3 linked regions of the Saccharomyces cerevisiae S288C genome follow. The gene in region 1 interacts genetically with each later gene. Each region holds a gene or a part of one and is shown in the gene's direction. Other genes may lie near its edges.

Region 1 (6,454 bases):
TTCACCAGTTGATGTAATGAGACAGCAATTGAACGTATGTAGAACAGATTAAACAATAGCAAAACGACCACAATCAAGTATAAGAACAACCATGTTTCCATGGTGACCTTGAGACCTTGCTGCTCTGCAATTGCGGGAGCCGTAACAACCGCTTCTCTTGGTTGTTCAAGGTCAACCTCTTTCAACTTATTTTTTACTTCTTTATCATCTTGCTCCTCTTCCTCCTTGCTGATAGTAATTTGGCACTCTTCGACATTGTTCTTGATGAACTTGGAAAGAATACGCTCCATTAATTGCGCAGCCTCCAATTGACCATTCTTGCATCCATTTTCAACCATACCTTTGATCCAACTGGAACCAGTCCATTCCACCCAAAAGGATACCCGTAACAGACACGTTATTTCGTCATTCCAACGGATTAGATACCTTGTCTTAGTTGAGAAACTACCACCACTGGGCACGTTCGGAGTGCGTATGCTACTGATAACCTCATAGTAAGTATCAGGATCTTTTCTCTTTATTACCTCAGCAACATAACATGTCGTGGACTTGGGCCCCGCAGGAAAGTGCAATGCTTTCTCGTATGAATACTCACGCTTCAAAGTCATGGAAGATCCGTCAATGCTCGTGAAATTTGGAATAGTGGTAATTTGTGAACCTTCTTGACCCCGTAAAAAATCTAGAAGAAATTCGTTTTGCTCTGAGTTGAACATGATCTCAAAAAGTATACCAGGTGCACAATCGAATGGTAACTCCTTGAGAACAAACTCGTTATTGGCCATAGGTTCAGCCGGAAAGCTTGTTGAATGATGATATATTGGACCATCATACTGATACGAGGAATCGGCACGCAGTTTATACGCTTTCTCTTTTTCTTTATCCGGCGAGGAACTCGTACTATTGGGGGTAGTCTCATTTGTAGAGATATTTTCATCGTCATTTTCATTAGTGTCATTATCATTAGCGTCTTTATCATTGTTTTCCTCATCGATGGAGTTTATTGCATCATCAATCTCTTTGCCATTTCCTGACTTTTCTGCTTTAGTATTGATGTTTTCGCTGGCCATGTCCTTCTGCAACAAGGTTCTTGACCACACTTCTTTCATTAATCCAAATGCAGCATCCCTGGATATAAAACCATTAAAGAGAGTTTTGCCCATCTTTGTTTCGATGGATATTGCGCTGGGGAACAACCCAGCAGCAGAAGTTTTTTCCATAAACGTGACATCTTCGAACGCAATCAGTACTTTAGCAATCCAACCAAGAACATTGGAGTTGAAGCAGAGATGCGTTTCTGTTATGTATAGTTTCCCCTGGTAAAGCAGCTCTCTATTCAGCCCACAATTAAAATCATCCAGTAGTCTGTCATCTTTAGGAACGGACTTGAATGTCTCATGAAAGTCTTTATTTCTTTGCTCAGACGCATAGTGATAAGGTGTGTCCATGTAACGTTCTTCCACGAATCGTCTATGATCGTAATTGTCTTCTTTCATTTGGGAAGGAGTGAGTCTTGTCTTGACCTCATCAGGCTTTTCCACCTGTTGCAAGGGAGAGCCTATTTCAGCAATTGTGGCATTACTGATACGGCGGCTTGATCTTCTTTTGGACCCCATGGAAGGCTCCCTTCTATGTGATATAATGCTTGGTTGCGAAACTGGCGAAGTTGGCGTAGTTGATCTAGAAACTGGGGATGGCACGTTTGACTTAAACGAAGAGATCATTCCACTGAAGAACGAGGACGTCGAAGAAGTCCTTGATTGATCGTGCTTGATCTCTGTAGGGTGTTCATCGGCGGCACTTTGGTTTGTAATCACTACTAAATTCTTGCGTACGTCGTTGGTCTCTGTATTTAGGGGCACTTCTTGCAGTGACTCAGCTTCAGTATCGCCGGCATTGTCATTGTTACTTGCATGCTCAAAGGGGGGACCCAATTGTTTCACAGAATCAGTACTGTCCTCATTATCTGATACGGGTTCCCAGTTATCTACATCCGACATCACCACTAATCTTTTTGTGTAGTTGCCTTCTTCACCCTTTTCTCAGATAGCGAAATGGTTGAGTGTTTTAATATAATTGTCAAGATGCTTTATGAAAAAGGGTGGGAGAAACAAGTCCCCCTGCTCAGCGATACGCGATCTCTCTGATCTCAGACATAAAGCAAACATTCTATCATGAGTGACATTGAGGATGACGGTAATTGGTAATATCTGACCTTCTGACCTCCACTCAACACAATGCAGAAAGCTATCAAATGTTTTGAACCAAACATGAAAGAGATTCAGAAAGTTGCCAAGCCAACGTGATGTCACAGGTCAAAGTTTAAGTGAAGGCTATTGGAATCTGCGGATCAGACATTCACTACTACACGGATGGCCAGGTCAGCGTAAAGTAACCTGGGAAGCCCATGACTTTGGGCCACGAATCCAACGGTGCTGTTCTTGAAATTGAAGTATCTCAAACTACTGTAAAGCGGGTGATGCAGTAAGCATATAGCCCTCATACCCAAATAGGTTTACCAAAGAGTTTCTGTGAGGCCATTATAGTTTGCAGCTCAACATACCATTTGCTGCATCACTGACCGTGACGGCACCCTTTGTCAAGAGTTCGTGGTTAACGTCGACTGCGTTTACTGATTACCGTTACAGTGAATTTCTAGCAAGAGTCCTCTGTAGATGCCACTATTTGTCGCTCTCCATGTAGTAAGGCCGTCCTAGCTGAAGTGTGGGGAGTAAGCTGTAGTTATAGGTGCTGGAACAATTGATCTGCTGGCGGGTGCGGTACTCAGAGGGTTTGGTGTTCATGAGTACACATGATTCCAAGAAAGAGCAAAATGGACAGTTTATAAACGCTATGAAGAACTGCTATAATCAGAAAAAAAGGAAGCCTGATGGATTCGAGTCCTCAGGTACTCAAAAGAGCGTTGAGAATATGCTAAAATGTGTCAAGAACGGTGGAACAGTTAAGTAGGTTGATATCCACCCCTCGAATGAAAATGTGGGGACCCTCCCAACGAGATTCCTTCAGAGAGATTACATATAAAGTGAAATTCAAGTATGACGATGGTGACTACTCCTTGGCCATTGATTTGATGTCTAGGGATTGTATTAATGTCTATGAGTTGATTACCGATAGGCTACTGGTTGATTTCCTTTCAAAAAAGCTGCTCAAGCTAAGATAGGTAAGGTGTTTATAGAATTTATCGAACTGTATCTAAATATTTTTAATATTCTTGTTTTATTACTTTGTGGCTTTTGTATTCAGTCTGCACCCTGTTTCGCCATCGATTCTTATAATACATACATTTTTATATAAGATCACAGAAAATACGAAGACGTAAAAAAAGAGTTCCGAATGAAAGAAGAAAGAATCAAGCACAGGAAGACAAGAAACGATGTTGTTCTACTCGTTCGTGTGGTCTGTACTGGCCGCTAGTGTTGCTTTGGCAAAGACACATAAGTTAAACTATACCGCTTCTTGGGTAACTGCCAATCCTGATGGATTGCATGAAAAAAGGATGATTGGTTTTAATGGCGAATGGCCACTTCCAGATATCCATGTTGAAAAAGGAGATCGTGTTGAGCTTTATTTGACTAACGGCTTTCAAGACAATACTGCTACTTCTCTACATTTCCATGGTCTTTTCCAGAATACGAGTTTGGGGAACCAGCTTCAAATGGATGGTCCTTCTATGGTGACACAATGTCCCATCGTTCCGGGACAAACATACCTGTACAACTTCACTGTCCCAGAGCAGGTAGGAACGTTCTGGTACCATGCACACATGGGTGCCCAGTACGGTGACGGTATGAGGGGTGCATTTATCATCCACGATCCGGAGGAGCCCTTCGAATATGATCATGAACGAGTCATCACTCTATCGGACCATTATCACGAAAATTATAAAACGGTTACCAAAGAGTTTCTGTCAAGATATAATCCAACCGGTGCTGAACCTATTCCTCAAAATATTCTTTTTAATAATACGATGAATGTAACTTTAGATTTTACACCCGGTGAAACGTATCTCTTCAGGTTCTTGAACGTTGGGCTGTTTGTATCCCAGTATATCATTCTTGAGGATCATGAAATGAGTATAGTAGAGGTGGACGGTGTTTACGTAAAGCCAAACTTTACTGATTCGATATATCTTTCTGCGGGGCAAAGAATGAGTGTGTTGATTAAAGCTAAAGATAAAATGCCTACAAGAAACTACGCTATGATGCAAATAATGGATGAGACGATGCTTGATGTTGTCCCACCTGAGTTACAACTCAACCAAACTATCCAAATGAGGTATGGCCACTCGTTGCCGGAGGCACGCGCATTGAACATTGAAGATTGTGACTTGGACCGCGCCACGAATGACTTTTACCTAGAACCTCTGATTGAGAGAGACCTACTTGCTCACTATGACCACCAAATTGTCATGGATGTAAGAATGGTCAACTTGGGTGATGGTGTGAAGTATGCATTTTTCAATAATATCACTTACGTCACACCAAAGGTGCCTACTTTGACAACGTTGCTTACCTCAGGAAAGCTTGCGTCAGATCCTAGAATTTATGGTGATAATATCAATGCGCAGTTATTGAAACATAATGATATCATAGAGGTTGTTCTAAACAATTATGATTCTGGCAGACATCCATTCCATTTGCACGGTCATAATTTCCAAATAGTCCAAAAGTCGCCAGGGTTCCATGTTGATGAAGCTTATGACGAATCTGAGCAAGATGAAATGACCGTCCCTTATAACGAATCTGCGCCATTACAACCGTTCCCTGAGAGGCCGATGGTGAGAGATACAGTGGTTCTTGAACCTAGTGGACATGTTGTCCTGAGATTTAGAGCTGACAACCCTGGTGTCTGGTATTTCCATTGTCATGTAGATTGGCACTTACAACAAGGTTTGGCTTCGGTCTTTATTGAGGCACCCGTTTTACTTCAGGAAAGGGAAAAGCTTAATGAGAACTATCTGGATATATGCAAAGCCGCTGATATTCCGGTAGTTGGTAATGCTGCAGGTCATTCGAATGATTGGTTTGACTTAAAAGGATTACCAAGACAACCTGAGCCACTACCAAAGGGATTTACTACTGAAGGATATTTGGCATTGATTATTTCAACCATTATCGGTGTCTGGGGCCTATATTCCATTGCTCAGTATGGTATTGGCGAGGTTATCCCTAACGATGAGAAGGTGTACCACACGTTAAGGGAAATCTTGGCTGAAAATGAAATAGAGGTTTCTCGCGGCTAATTAAACAAGAAAATATAAAAGAAAAATGAAAGAAGTTTATATTCATATTGATGATTTGCAATCCTAAAAAAAATGTAGCACTGTAAATACTGCTTACTATTGAGTATTTTCATTTTGTTCATTCCATTCCCTATATAATATTCATACGTAATCAAATCTATTGCTTTTTTTTTCTCTTTTATTTCGTTGTTTTAGCTCTGACGTTGTGACGCTCAGCCAAGAACGTCACAAAAAAAGGATGAAAATCAAAAAACAAAATATTCAATAAGTGTAATATGAGAAGAGAAAAAAGAAAGAACAAGTACAGTTTCTAACATTATACTTTAAAAATTATTAAGCACAATGACAGCAATGAAAGCTATTGTCTGGAGACTTCCCAAGATGCCGAAAATCAAAATTACAAAAACTTATGAAGTTACGAAAATTACGGCGATATTGACACTAGTAGGATTTATAATGGGCCTTGAGGTGCCGTCATTGGCAACTTTTCTCACAAACAAAACGTTTAATGAGTACTTCAAGTATCCAACTCCTTTACAACAAGGTTTACTCATGGGGTCCACCCCCCTGGGTGGTATCATGGGATGTTTTATTTGCTGCATAATGAATGATAGATTCAGTAGAATATATCAATTTCAATCGGGAATAATAATATGGAATATTGTTACGTTATTGAACTTTTGTATTTGGGATATATTAGGTTTACTAATTTGCCGGATGATCAAGGGTATGATCCTTGGGAACTTTTCAATTTTAGTAGCATCCTACGCAAATGAAGTTATCCCCCGCGGCAAGCGTGGAAGTACGATGAGCTATATTCAATTGTGTTTAACCATTGGAATTCTTGTTATGCATTATTTGTGCATTGCATTAAGTCTATGGGATTCTCATTTTGCGTTCCGTATAGCGTGGTGCATAGGAATCATTCCTGGATTACTGTTCTGGATGGCTAGCTACGCTCTACCTGAATCTTATCACTGGCTAGTACTACATGGGAAGATGAGTGAAGCTCAGGAAATTCAGCACAATTTAGCCAAAAAGTTTAATGAAAGCCAGCCAAGGGATGCAGTCCCTGAGATGAGTAAGATCGAATTAGCAGGAGATTTTTGGATTGGAGTTAATGATTTGGACTTCTCCAAAAAATTACCTCGGGGTTCGTTTAAGCCTTTGATTCTTGGAATGACTTTACAGTTA
Region 2 (3,157 bases), on another chromosome or scaffold:
ATATTAACGGGACAAATCGTCTATAGGCTCCATATCACCAATGTTACGAGAGTTACGATAGTACCCATTTCTTCATCATTGTCTCTTTTGGAGTTCCCATTAACCGATTTACCCAAAAAGCCCATCCTACCAGGAGGGCATCTAAGGATCAACATTTACCATAGAAATTTTTTAAGGAGGTTTTTCTCCCATTTGATACCCTTCCAACATCCTTTTACTATTGCTAGTATTCCAAGTGATAATTTGGTCAGGTTAATTATTAGAAACGGGCATTTTCCATTGCGTACAAATGAAAAGTATTACATTACAGGGGCTTTTGAACCTGAGTTGAGTTTCATTTCTAAACCTACTGTTCCTTTTAATATTACCACGAAATCTTCCAAGAATCCATTTCGAAACAATTCTTCTGCACTAATAAATTCGCCTTTAAATTTTCTAATTAAAGCGCAAAGAGTGTTTATGTGTGTTGGAGGTTCAGGAATTTCCTTTGGCTTACCACTACTTCGTATTCTAAACTTCAACGGTGTAAACGTTAGGCTCCTTTGGGTTTCTAGAGATTATAAGGATCTGGAAGTATTGAACCACTTCAAAAACAATTTTGAAGGTATGGAGATATATATTAGTGGCACCGAAGGCAACGAACAGGACATAGAAATTGATTATATTGACTATCATGACTGCGCTGCTGATATTAATGATGAAGTCAGGAGTATTTCTTCGAGCGGCCGAGTTTCAGAACTGGGAGATAATTCCATGTTATCAGATGGAAATCCCCAACCTACGGAGCCCAATGAGAACACAGCCCTTCTAAGTAAGAAATCTACCTTGAGAAACCATCACCCACCAAAAACAAGTGATATACCTGACATCAATGCTGATGACGAGATAGATTTTACATATGCTTTTAGCAGATCCAAATCAAGGAAAAATACTGCACAAGGAACTCTAACTACACATTCTTCGTTTAACGGATCGAGCGTTTTCAGACAACCAAAGATCATTGAGCCACCTGCCCAAGATCCTTGTTTAGAGGCGGCGCCTAAAAAGATCAGAATTCCCGCAGGTGTTAAAGTGTTCTTTGGCAGGCCTACACTTGGAGATAAGGATTATGAATGGTGTCTGCAAACCGAATGTGATGCAGAGACGGATTCTATTCAATGTTGCAGGTGGGCGAATCAAGGCAGAGACCATGCTGAATATTTGTCACAAGTATGGGTTCTCGCTGCAGGCCCTAGAGGCTTAATTGAAAGCACCAAAAGATGGGCGACAGATGGTGGTTTACACTTTCACGGAGAAAGTTTTGCATTATAAGAGTTGCAAGTTGGCTATTAGTTTATGAGGCTTGGAAAATTCACGTATTTGATGGTGGCATATCTATAATGTCCCGTTTTGCTCTTTAATCTTACTGTCAAAAAAGGGCCCTATGTACGATCTTTTCTAACTGATTTTTTCCGAGAAAAGTTCCGCAGGCTGATTTAGTTTTTTTCTGGTGGTTGTCAAGCCTCTCTCCACTTGGTGATAGTTGCGAAAAATGACAGCGGATATTAATGGATATTAGCGGGAATAAGCACATTTCCATATTGATTATTTGTATGTCTAGCAACTTATAAGATGAATTATAAAAGGCATATAAGTTCTTCTTGGTACTGAATACATGACACTCTCACTACTGTACTAGAGACTTATTGTCGATAAAAGAACTCAACTGCCTCAATAGGAATTTTTTTACTAAAGCAATCACTGATTATGAAGGTTTTTATGCATACAATCCTCACAAAGGTGCAGCGATTGCATTTGTCGTTCTGTTTGGCATTTTAATCCTTTCTGCCTTGGTGCAGATCATAATGGCAACACACACGAGCAAGAGACGTATTCATCGCTGGGAAAACAATGAGTTGTCAGAGGAAAATTCCACAATAATATACTTTCCTGCCCGCGGTTTGATGTGGACACATTTTCCTTTCGTTTTAGGGATTTGTTTAGAGTTCGTGGGTTATGTGTTGAAAATAGTCTTTATCAATAGCCCCTCGATTTCGACTTTCATTGCTCAATCGGTGCTTCTATTGATAGCACCTTCACTTTACGCCCTTAGTATTTTTATGTTGTTCAGCAAAATGGCACGTCTAATTCTTATGGAGGCATATATGTTAATTCCTGCGAAATTTAGTACAGTTTCTTTCGTAGTGGCAGATATGATTGGGCGTGTCCTACAGGCTGTAGGAGGTGGGTTGTTATCCTCATGGAACAGCAGGAATACTGGGCGTATCCTAATTATTGTGGGTCTTTTCATTCAGATATTTTGTTATACCTTTTTAACGTTCAGTCAACTTTTTCTTCACTATAAAATGAAGGCAACGCCTAGTAAAATTGTGCGGGATAGTAATGAATGGTTCCAGTACAATTTTATACTTTTAGCTGGGATATTGCTGGTTAATGGTAGAACCATTGTCAGAGTAGTACAATTTCTAATGGGCTTACAAAGCTATATAGGTCAGCACGAATGGTGCCTTTACGTTTTCGATACAGTTCTAATGTTTTTACTACCTTTGATTTTCCTAGCAACCTTTCGCGCAAGAAATTTGTTCAAGCTGCAGGATAAATCTGTCAATATTCAATTAAACAAATTATTAGACAAGGAATCTGTGTCTGAAGATTAAGTAGTCAAAAATTTATTAATTAAATAGTTGGATAATATTTGTGCTGGGCATTAGAAGTCAATCTTGTCTTTTCCTTTATATGGTGCAAAGATTATCATGGTTAACGAATCTATTTTTTTTCGTGTCGTTTTTGTTTTTGTTTTTGTTTTTGTTTTGTCTGCTTGACACTCCATAGGAAGAGTAAATGAAGAACCTACCAGACCTAGGGACCAAATAGCATTACTAAACTACAAAGAAACAGCTATCTTTACAGTGTAAAGTATTTTTGAGTTTTTATTAAAGAGTTTGAAGTTGACTATGTCAGGAGAAGAAGAAGTAGATTATACAACGTTACCCCTAGAAGAGCGATTAACGTACAAGTTATGGAAGGCACGTTTAGAAGCTTATAAGGAGTTAAACCAGCTTTTTAGAAACTCCGTTGGCGACATCAGTAGGGATGACAACATACAAATTTACTGGAGGGATCCTACATTATTTGCACAATATATAACTGATTCTAA
Region 3 (3,764 bases), on another chromosome or scaffold:
AATCGAAACTGCATCCTCCAGGGCATTCCGCTTATTTAGTTATTGAGGACAAACTCCAAGTTCAGCGCCTGCTTTCAATCTGTGAGCCCTTAATAATATCAAGAAGCGGACCGCCCGCAAATGTTGCATCCTCGGATACAAATGTAGACGAAGTGTTTTTTAATCGACATGATGAAGAAGAATCCTGGATACTGGACCCAATACAGGAAAAGTTGGCACATTTGATTCATTGGATAATGAACACTACTTCTCGGAAACAAACAATGAAAAACAAAATTCAATTTAGCTTAGAAGCCCAATTGGAAATATTACTTCTTATTAAATCTTCGTTCATTAAAGGTGGCATCAATGTTAAATACACTTTTCCAGCAATAATCACAAATTTTTGGAAACTGATGAGGAAATGCCGTATGATACAAGAGTACCTTTTGAAAAAAAGACCCGATAACAAGACGTTACTTTCCCATTATTCCAATCTTTTAAAGCAAATGTTTAAATTTGTTTCTCGTTGTATCAATGATATCTTTAATTCTTGCAACAACTCATGCACAGATCTGATTCTGAAACTGAATTTACAATGTGCCATTCTAGCTGATCAATTGCAATTAAACGAAATTTCATATGATTTTTTCTCACAGGCCTTCACAATATTTGAAGAGTCTCTAAGTGATTCAAAGACTCAGTTACAGGCTTTAATATATATTGCTCAGTCTTTACAAAAGACAAGATCACTCTACAAAGAAGCTTATTATGATTCTTTGATTGTCAGATGCACACTCCATGGATCCAAATTATTAAAGAAACAAGACCAATGTCGTGCTGTTTATTTATGCTCCCACCTCTGGTGGGCAACGGAAATTTCAAATATTGGTGAGGAAGAAGGTATCACAGACAACTTCTACAGAGATGGTAAACGGGTGTTAGAATGTCTACAAAGGTCTCTCCGTGTGGCGGATTCTATAATGGATAACGAACAGAGTTGTGAGCTAATGGTCGAAATATTAAATAGATGCCTCTACTATTTTATTCACGGGGATGAGTCCGAAACTCATATATCGATAAAATACATCAATGGTCTGATCGAACTAATCAAAACAAACTTAAAATCGCTAAAACTAGAAGATAACAGTGCCTCTATGATTACCAACTCAATCAGTGATTTGCACATCACCGGAGAAAATAATGTGAAGGCAAGCAGTAATGCTGACGATGGCTCTGTAATCACAGATAAGGAATCAAATGTTGCCATAGGATCGGATGGTACGTATATTCAATTAAATACTCTGAACGGATCTTCCACGCTAATACGCGGAGTCGTAGCAACTGCTTCAGGTAGTAAATTACTGCACCAACTGAAGTATATCCCAATCCACCATTTTCGACGCACTTGTGAGTACATTGAAAGTCAAAGAGAAGTTGACGATCGTTTCAAAGTCATATATGTATAGTTAAATAACGTACTTGCTCTTCGTACATGCCCAAGATAAAAAAAAACTACACAAATAAAGCTAATAAAAATTTACCTAAAGAAGGATCATAGATTAAGTGGAAGGAAACTTGTACATAATTCGAGTTTATTTTCAACTAAGATATCAAGGATTGTTTACTATAAAAACACTTAATTGGGTAATTTCTATTTTTTACTTTTTTTCTGTGTTAAAAAAATGGGTCGCGCCAATGCGCTCACAAATCTATTCTTATCCCTAACTTACATCTACATGTAAAGCGCCACTAAGAGAGCTATAGCTTATCATACATTTACATCAGGTAAAGTATCATTTTGGCCAGTGGATACGAATTTAATATATAATCTTTGCTTTCCCTTCGCTCTTAAATTCACCAAGCAAGTTTGTTAAGAAATAAAGGAAAGGGGGCTCAAAAACCGAATCAAGTAAGACAAGAAACATGGGGTACAGTACTATTTCCAACGATAATGATATCAAAGTATGTGTGATAATGGTTGGCCTACCAGCTAGAGGAAAGTCTTTTATTTCCCAAAAAATTATCAGGTACTTATCGTGGTTATCCATAAAAGCCAAGTGTTTTAATGTGGGAAATTACAGAAGAGACGTGAGTGGAAATGTCCCAATGGATGCTGAGTTTTTTAACTTCGAAAATACAGATAATTTTAAACTCAGAGAATTGGCTGCCCAAAATGCCATAAAAGATATTGTTAATTTTTTTACTAAAGAAGACGGATCTGTGGCAGTTTTCGATGCTACTAATAGTACACGTAAAAGAAGGAAATGGCTTAAAGATATATGTGAAAAGAATAATATTCAACCGATGTTTTTAGAGAGCTGGAGTAACGATCATGAACTGATTATAAATAACGCTAAGGATATCGGTAGCACATCTCCTGATTATGAAAACTCTGAACCTCATGTGGCGGAAGCTGATTTTTTGGAAAGAATTAGACAATATGAAAGATTTTATGAACCTTTGGACCCCCAAAAAGATAAGGATATGACGTTCATTAAGTTGGTCAATATTATTGAAGAAGTAGTAATTAATAAGATCAGAACATATTTGGAAAGTAGGATTGTATTTTATGTTATGAATATTCGTCCTAAACCAAAATATATCTGGCTCTCCCGTCACGGCGAATCGATCTATAACGTAGAGAAAAAAATTGGCGGGGATTCATCACTGTCTGAAAGAGGCTTTCAGTACGCTAAAAAATTGGAGCAGTTAGTGAAAGAGAGCGCAGGAGAAATAAATTTGACCGTGTGGACTTCCACCTTAAAAAGAACACAACAAACGGCAAATTATCTTCCCTATAAGAAACTGCAATGGAAAGCACTTGATGAATTAGACGCTGGCGTTTGTGACGGAATGACGTATGAGGAAATTGAAAAAGAATATCCTGAAGATTTTAAAGCACGTGATAATGACAAATACGAGTACAGATATCGTGGTGGAGAATCATACAGAGATGTAGTGATTCGTTTAGAGCCCGTCATTATGGAATTGGAGCGCCAAGAAAATGTTCTCATTATAACTCATCAAGCCGTACTTCGGTGTATATATGCATATTTTATGAACGTTCCACAGGAGGAATCCCCTTGGATGTCAATCCCACTACACACATTGATCAAGCTGGAGCCTAGGGCCTATGGCACAAAGGTCACCAAAATTAAAGCAAACATCCCTGCAGTGAGTACATATAAAGAGAAGGGTACAAGCCAAGTAGGTGAGCTTTCTCAAAGCTCAACTAAACTTCATCAACTGCTCAATGACTCTCCTTTGGAAGACAAATTTTAAATTTTACTTTTTATTTTTGTGTATCTTAAGTCCAAGCTTACTTGTGGCTGATACGCACAATCTTTTATGTACGAAAAGATCAGGAAACGTAGCATTGATGGTTTTTTATGTACGTCTGCAGCATTGTATGTAATTATTACCCAAACTAATTTTAAGTGAAATTGTAGAACGCCGCGGCGGAAGTATTTTTGAGTAAAAAAAAAAAAGTAAGATTCGAAAATGAAATTATACAGTACAGAAAACGTAAATATACAATAAAGGTTGAATAAACATACTAGATATCCTCCTTTCTTTTTGCATGTACATAGTACTGGTGTAAACTCGATATACCGATGGTCAGATTTTTTGGTTTAAACAAGAAAAAGAACGAAGAAAAGGAAAATACAGACTTGCCTGCAGACAATGAACAAAACGCAGCAGAAACGTCGTCTAGCAACGTATCTGGAAATGAAGAAAGAATAGACCCAAACAGTCATGATACGAACCCTGAAAATGCAAAC

The links. Genes that interact genetically often act in the same process or in processes that back each other up.
Region 2: mutations in FET5 (region 1) and YLR046C together harm fitness more than expected from each alone (negative genetic interaction), as found in Saccharomyces cerevisiae (2 studies listed by BioGRID).
Region 3: mutations in FET5 (region 1) and FBP26 together harm fitness more than expected from each alone (negative genetic interaction), as found in Saccharomyces cerevisiae (2 studies listed by BioGRID).

What each region holds. Positions count from the first base shown.
Region 1 is NC_001138.5:45,748-52,201, forward strand, and holds FET5 (ferroxidase FET5), read left to right. Parts: upstream 1-3,391; coding exon 3,392-5,260; downstream 5,261-6,454. Other genes in the region: LAM5 (Lam5p), read right to left, coding at 1-1,997; YFL041W-A (uncharacterized protein), read left to right, coding at 2,987-3,178; YFL040W (uncharacterized protein), read left to right, coding at 5,603-6,454. UniProt on the Saccharomyces cerevisiae protein: Iron transport multicopper oxidase, which is required for Fe(2+) high affinity uptake. May be required to oxidize Fe(2+) and release it from the transporter. Essential component of copper-dependent iron transport.
Region 2 is NC_001144.5:237,501-240,657, reverse strand, and holds YLR046C (uncharacterized protein), read left to right. Parts: upstream 1-1,844; coding exon 1,845-2,657; downstream 2,658-3,157. Other genes in the region: FRE8 (putative ferric-chelate reductase), read left to right, coding at 1-1,311; STU2 (Stu2p), read left to right, coding at 2,955-3,157.
Region 3 is NC_001142.9:128,785-132,548, reverse strand, and holds FBP26 (fructose-2,6-bisphosphatase), read left to right. Parts: upstream 1-1,905; coding exon 1,906-3,264; downstream 3,265-3,764. Other genes in the region: retromer subunit VPS35, read left to right, coding at 1-1,448; SSY5 (Ssy5p), read left to right, coding at 3,597-3,764. UniProt on the Saccharomyces cerevisiae protein: Monofunctional, high-specificity fructose-2,6-bisphosphatase, which releases phosphate from the 2-position of fructose 2,6-bisphosphate. Has no detectable 6-phosphofructo-2-kinase activity.